2 linked regions of the Drosophila melanogaster genome follow. The protein of the gene in region 2 interacts with the protein of the main gene of each other region in a pairwise test. Each region holds a gene or a part of one and is shown on either strand. Other genes may lie near its edges.

The links. The genes of interacting proteins can lie anywhere in the genome.
Region 1: the proteins of CG11317 (region 2) and ebd2 interact in a two-hybrid assay, tested with the Drosophila melanogaster proteins (one large-scale study listed by BioGRID).

What each region holds. Positions count from the first base shown.
Region 1 is NT_037436.4:21,347,664-21,351,418, forward strand, and holds the start of ebd2 (earthbound 2), read right to left. Parts: upstream 1,626-3,755; 5' UTR 1,379-1,625; intron 1-1,378. Other genes in the region: CG32436 (uncharacterized protein), read left to right, coding at 2,352-2,598, 2,676-2,799, 2,886-3,755.
Region 2 is NT_033777.3:31,095,568-31,099,322, forward strand, and holds the start of CG11317 (uncharacterized protein), read right to left. Parts: upstream 1,755-3,755; 5' UTR 1,503-1,754; coding exon 1,388-1,502; intron 1-1,387. Other genes in the region: CG15553 (uncharacterized protein), read right to left, coding at 3,424-3,481, 3,539-3,647, 3,707-3,754.

The DNA of each region.
Region 1 (3,755 bases), on a different chromosome or scaffold from region 2:
AGGCGTTAATTGTTAATTTGCTGATCTTATGTATCTAGTATATATGTACATATGTATACATGTATAAATACATGTCTGCACCTAAAAAGTGAAACTCTCTATTTGCCCGCTGTTATGTGCGTTGTTGGTCTATTGCATCGGCAGTGGGCATGGTATGCAAAAGCAGTGCGGTTGCAGTCGCTTCGCTCTTGTGTCATATGCGTTTGCGTTTCGCCGCGTTTGTTGTTTGTTATGTATCAATTTTTGTTGTCGGTGGAAGGAGCAGGAGCGTGGCGATGACAGGAGGGGGTGGCAAGGCTATATGCTGGGTTACCGATTAAAGTCCGATTCCTCGTCGGATTGCCCGCCGCAAAAACCTCGCTCTATCTTGGCTAATTACCTTTGCGTCACAGATAAGAGCCTGTCTACTTTTACTCTTCCAACGATTCGTTTGGTGGCCGAAGTGATATAAGCTCGCTCTAAAGTCTTTGGGGCGTTCATAGCTAGCTTCTTATCGGTCCAGATCGTTGTTAGACAACAGAGAAATTCCCTATTATTCGTTCATTTAAACTAACTGTCTAAAAAGGTATAGTTATTGTATGTTTTAGGCACTAAAAGAACATCAATTCTGTTCAGCATTATTTTTGTTAGCTATATACTAGCTATTAAAAAGGTCCTTGAAATAAAACTATTAAATGAAGTTTACTCTTTTGAAGTTTTCTCTGTATATGCAGACAAGCTCTGTTTTTCGAGGTGCCAGACCGCTGCTTACAAAACACTTGGCTGTCCATCCCCATATGCATGTGTATCTCAATTTCGCTGGGCGGCTGCACCTCGCAAATACCAAACTTAAGTTGAGTTTTAAGCCATCTCGAAGTTTGCTCTTGCAGCCTCAGCATCATTGATGAAAGGGCTGCCTTAAAGTGGAATACTTCAGCAGTTCCTAGTCTTTCTTTGAATTAGGTCTCTGGATGAAATTAATAACTTATGGTCATTTTCTTGTATTTCACTGACATTTAATTATATATTAAGAATATTCGTTTGCATAAGGTATATGATAACTCAAAAAAACATGTCCTTTGGATCCCACTACATGAATAAAATAAGCATTTGTCTTCTCAAAGTATTGTTCTTAAAATAAAATATAATTAAGTGGACATCCCACCACACCTGCCTTGCGAATGATCATGTGTCTGAAGTCCCCGTACGCGGAACACACCGAGCCCCATCGTAACCCCGCCTAGTTTGACATTTTGCCAGCTAGCTCGCCCATGGAAAGAGGGTTGCGTTGTTGGAATTGGAACCGACTTGTACTGTTGGCAAGTGCGCCTTGGTATTGGTGTTAGTATTGGTATTGACGTGGTCGTATGCTATAACAGTGCGATACTGCGGCGCTCACCTGGTTCACCTGGTCGTCGATTTGGATGCCTGTTGTTTCTGTTTTTGCTGCAGCACGCTACTTACTAGATGACTTGTTTGTTCTGCAGCCGAGGCAGCTTCGTATTTGCTCGGGGTCCGGGTTTTTGGTCTCGGGCTAGTCGGTTTTTGGTCTGGTTGGGTTTTTGGCTTTTGGACGACCGAACGAACGAGAGCGATAAGATTCCGTGATGTGGCACTAAGCGCTGTTCGTTGTTTACTGCTCTGTGCATGGGACGCCTCTGTTGTTTGGTGCCCGTCATCGTGGCCAGCCAGCCATAGAGGCACACTCACCAACACAGACGCACTGCGAACCCATACATATATAGCGCATGCCATCGTATACCACATATAGCGCGGCGACATCAGGTCGTTATAGTCAGTCTAGTTGGCATTTCGTGCTTACCTTATGCCGCTAACTAACTTCTTGATGAGCGCAAAAAACAGCGGAGGAGAAAAAACAGGCCTCCCGTAAATACCATCCATACCATACCTTGCCATACAACACAATACTGAAATGCCATACCCAGACCAAGACCAAGGCAAAGACCAACGGGGCGTCGGGCATCGGTGGCGTATGCGTGCTATTTTCAGCCGCATTAAAAGCTTATGGCCATGGCCAGGAAAACCGAGTCGCCGAGTGAAAGCACAGAGCTTGCACAGAGCCAAGCGTTGATAACTGGCCATATGTTACCCAATCCATCGCCAGCCAAGACTATGAATTCACTGAATATTTCAATTGGCTGGACATATCCTTACGCAATTTGGGTTACACTAAGTGCGCCATTTGTTGACCACACATACAGAAATTATTTGGATATGGTTGTAATGTATTTTAGCTTATTTTTATTTTATTCATGTATATCGGTTGCAATTATAAATTTAATTTACCGACCTCATTGAATATTAATATAATCTTAAAAAAAAGAAATGATATATTTATACAACCTGCGCAGTTGGAGCTAAAGCGTCCCAAGAGTCGCATATACCTAAACGAAACTGAAGTTGGACCCTTGGAGGAGCTCCCCTTTTCATCTTACAATCCGCGAATCCTGCAAGAAGGCTTAGAAGGAGAAAACCTCAAGACCTTCGATATCATTGAGGGCTGCAGTCCACAGGATTTGTGGACCTGGAATGTGGGCTACCAGAAGAGAGAGGAGCATATGGATCAGGAGTTCATATCCGCCTCCCTGCCGAAATATGGTGTGTAGTTAGCGAATAGAACTATCTTTTTTCCAAGAGATTTGCATTCCTAATCTAGGCTTTTCAAAATTTCACAGAAAACGACGGCGAACTTACGCTCTATAATATACCACAACAGCTGGAAAAGACGTTTACTGCTGAGATTGTGTTTGGGAATCGGAACATCTATCCTGAACCAAAGAAGGAGCCCAACCGTTTGCAGTGAGTAATCTGATTTCTTTGCTAGTAATGCTTAGTTACTAATACCCTCCAATAAAATATATAACTCCTCCTTACATTAAATCCAGGTACTATTATCGGCCTAGTGAAATCGGTGCCATTATAGTCGCTTTCGTAGAGACCTTTCGTTTGAATCCCGATTTCTGGACGGGATCTACAATGGATGGGATTCTAAAGCGCGGAGTGAAATTGACCAAAAAGAGCGCCGACCTAAACTACAAGTCAGACGTGAATGATTTCGATATAATCCAACAGGTTGCGGAACGAGACGCCGCCGTTGAGATTAAGATACACTTCTCGGGACTTTTGAAAAACGAACCAAATATGTACAAAGCACTTTCCCTATTCTTCTCCAAATACAATGCCTGCATCTTTACGTCCCGGGATCTCTTCCTGCTGATCTGGAAGCGCTGCTTAAACTCGTACTATATCTTCGATCCCAATGGACGTGATGAAAACTGCGAACGGAATTTCGAGGAGGGAAAGTGCTCACTGATGGCCACTCGCTATACGGAGCACTTGGTCCATTTGATCACCAAGTTTAGCGATCTGCAGCCGCAGGATGAATTCAATATTTTTGAGATATCGCTGACTCAGTATGGAAAACTTAAGGAGCCACCAATTAATTCGGCGGAAAACGAGGAGTATCACAAACTCTGGGCGCCAGTCAATGAGAACTTTGCTGTAAAAACTGCGGCCACAGGTGGCATTCACCAACCGATCTCCGGAAATGAGAAGAATGCATCGCTAGTTGTGTCATTGATAGCTCTGATTTACTCGGAATTTGAGCTAGCCAAGCTATGGAAACCGGGTACTGTGGATGACATCATAAGGTATGGTGTAGCCTACTACAAAACCCTTCGGAAGAAGTTCCGCCTGGATGGAAAACGCTGGAAGAATAAGAAGCCACATTTGAATGTGGTGGATCTGCCAGAAAT
Region 2 (3,755 bases):
ATCAGGGAAAATCAATACTGCCAAAAACTATCCCGTTCGCCACAAAAACAAAGGAAGTTGGTAAACATAATTTAAAATTTCTGATTAACATTTTGATTGCATTTTACCCATGCTGACTTTTAATTTGCTTCGTGAACATACGCTAATTATTTTATAATAACAACCGGATTGAGAATCAGAATAAAGCCGCAATTTATTTATAGTCGCTTATTATTGCCATTTGGGTTGTTATATATTCATGTGATTCAGGTCTGAGCACCCAATACAATATTTTATTGATCGATGCTTAAAATAAAAGTACACCAACTTTAAATTTGCGCGTCAGAATCAACAAAGGCAACTAAAAATTTCAATTACCAGCCATCAGCGAAATCCCCCCCCGAACCATCCTTTATTTTCCCCCAGCAATTTTCTTGGAGGGTGCGAGACTTAGCGCTTAGACAAAAGCATCTTGGGGCCGAAAGCCCAAAGTGTTTTCTTTTCGACAGTCACATCCGCACCACGTTTTCTTCGTCGCTCACACGTGCAGGTCCTCATTATTGCGTGGGTTGTAGGATCTGGATGTTATTTACTTTGCCTCGTTTCCCCCAGTTGCTACCCCACACCCCCTTTCCAAAATGTTTTCCCACTTTTCCATACGGCACAGATAAAGGCAAACAATAGGAGTGTGCAGGCAAGTAGAATATACATTTATTCGGGCCCTATACTCACCAAGTCATTTCGGGAATTTTAATTAACTTGTTTAGATAACGAGCGAGTGTTTGGCTTATGAATGAAACGCAGGCCTGAATTGATACATGTCTGGCATGGCAAATCAAGAAAACGGTGAAATGCACCTATGAAGTTGAAGGGAAATTGACTTGTTGAAATTCCTGTTTGGAAAATGTGAGAAGCCAAGATTGCCATTTTGATCCAGTTGGTTTTAGTCGACAGCAATAATCTTTTCTATCAAGATTTAGTGGCTTAGTCTATGATCTGCTTAATTTTCATGGAAGTCATGTTGTTATTTAATTGATTACAGGAATGAAGCGAGCTGACAATTGCAAGTCAATCAATTTTAAGTGTTTGGAGTTACGTTTCAGGCAACCAGAGTGCAAAGTAATATATATATAGAATTCTCGTTTGAAATATTTCAAATTACAAATTAGTAGATATCTATAGGATATACTAAAGATACTCAACAGATCCTTAGGCTCCTTTCCACGTTTACCAACCAGTAAACTCACCAACTTGATATCAGTACTGCACTACTATTTATGGTTGATTTACGCACAAGTTTGCGACTTAACCCGATTAGTTCGCTAATTATTGATAAATTATCCTAATTGAGTCCGCCCGACTTTTGCAGCCAACTGGACTAATTGATTGCCCAGGTGTGGGAACTAACCTTGTGTGCTGTTGTTGTGATTACCGCCGTTTGAGTTGCTCTTGGAAAAGCTGCAGTTGTTGTTGAAGGAGTTGAAGAAGTTGGCGGCACCGGTGCGCCGTAAAATCCAAAACATGGTTGCAGGTGTGCAGCAGTGCAGGAGTGCGGTATCCTGATTAATGGGCTGTCGGAAAAATCCAGTTGATATGCTGCAGCGCCCTGAAGTAGGCAACGAATTATGCCAACTGCCTTTTCACCGACGGCATTTTCACGCGACGCGTTCTTGCGCTGATAAGCGGGCTACGGAAAATGAGGCGAGGACGCGACGGAAAAGCCCGGAAAAACTGGCGACCGTATCGTGTGGAAGTCTTCATCAAACTAAATCGACTTCGTTTGCGCTCTCGGATTTTATACCGCACGAAGGAAAATGAGAGCGAAAATTTCCGTGTTACCACGAGAGCTCTCTCCGTCTACGTGATAACGTAAGGACTTACGTTTTCCCACTGCTCTTTTGCTCTTTTGACGTCTGTTGTTGGGAAAACCAACGCTTGGCAAAGGCTAAACTTGACCTTCGTCAACACTTGCATGTCGTTTGGCCCGCTGGCAGCCCATAATTCGTTTTGTTTAATAAACGATTACGTATGCGCCGTGTGGACGAGCCTCAACTGTCTTGCGACTTCGGGCACTAAAACGTCCATCAATCATCGCCACCGGAAGTGGTCGCCACTTTGTTGTCCTTGTTTAAAGTTTTATATGCTTCTTATCGGGCTGTTCAATTAGACAGTGTCTTTTACTACTTTGCGCATCGGGAGAAAATCGTACAAAAAAGTTTAACAGTATATAAAATATATGCATGCACCTTTTTTTCTATCTCTTCCACTTTGCGATTGCTTTTAACGATTTTTCTGGTACAAATTTCCGTTCTTTGTGCATATTTATTTGACACTTTCCCATCAGTGTTTGTGACGTGGAAACGGGCGGAAATGCGGAACGGTTAACAGCTGGCAGCACATGCATCCGCATCAAAGTTTTCCCCTGATGGTTAACGCTGTGGCAAAAACAAAGACATCTCCATTAGGTTGGCGTGTTCGAGGGTTTCAAGTGCAAGTGCAAAGTTCATGTCCTGCGAATTCGTTTATGGTGCACGCGCGGCGGCATTAAAGCGTTTTCCGAGCACCCTCGACTTAAATGCCGCACAACAAATGGTTTTCCGCAGACAAGACTGTGATTTGATGACTCGGTTTCGGTTCGCCGATTTCTGCTGCTCGAGCGGGGTTAAGTTAACCCGATACTGATTGCCGGGGCTTGGATGTGGCCGCCACGAGGGCAGGAGTCGCCCACACACACACACACACACACACAACAGACAAGTGACATACGACCCACCTTTGTGCGCATAGTAGAGCCTAAATTTAATATTTAATCAGCGAGGGCTGGCGTTTAACAATTCAAATTGCTGCGAATTGTATGTTCTGTGAACTTTTGGCATTGGCGACATTACGAATTCATGCGGTACGTGCCAAAGTCACAACGAGTCCAAATGAATCCAAACGATTCTCCGAATATGTTTGAACTTTGCGAATATGTTGCGCAAACTTTGCCCCATAAATTATGCACTATTAAAAGCTCATGCATAAGGCATGCCCCATGTCCCTGCAGCAAAAACAGCAAGGACCCTGGACCAGAAATAATAACCGCAACAAAGCATTACACATGGACGGCAATTAGGTTCAATTTCGATGGAAATGCATGGCAAAGTAGTCACTTATGTCCAGTTGATGTAATAAATTGTTGGCCATGGAGAACATGACATTTTGGAATTCGATTAGTTTAAATGGCAACGAACGTTGGTTAATCCTTCAACATGATGTAATTTCAATTGGCAGATAATTCCTTTGCGGTATGCAAATTAAATTAGCTATATACAGAGAAGTGCTTCACACAACGCCAGTTATTTAATGCTGTCCACACAAAGTTTTCGACTTAAGCATAAACAAAGCTCTGAAAAGTTGGCAAACTTGCCACAATCAATATTGATGGAAATTCAGTTTACTTGGCTATTTGAGCGTCTTGGCGTAGAACTTTTGGTGCTTGAATTTAATTCGCATCACCCAGCTGCAATAAATTTATTCAAAATCATTTAGTGTGGCAATGGATAGCCGCCATACTCACCCAATCAGGATGAACGCTAGCCCGTAGAAGGCGGCGCTGAGGAAATTAAATCCTCCAGGATTGCTGGCCAGGGATTCCTTATAGATGGCCGTGTAAAGAGGGGCGGCGACTGGAAGTGAAATATGATGGATGGGGGGCAGGTATTCAGGGAATTTCAAGGGGACTTACCAAAGGGCGCGAACGATTGTAGGATGTTGCCGATGGCAAACAGCTTACC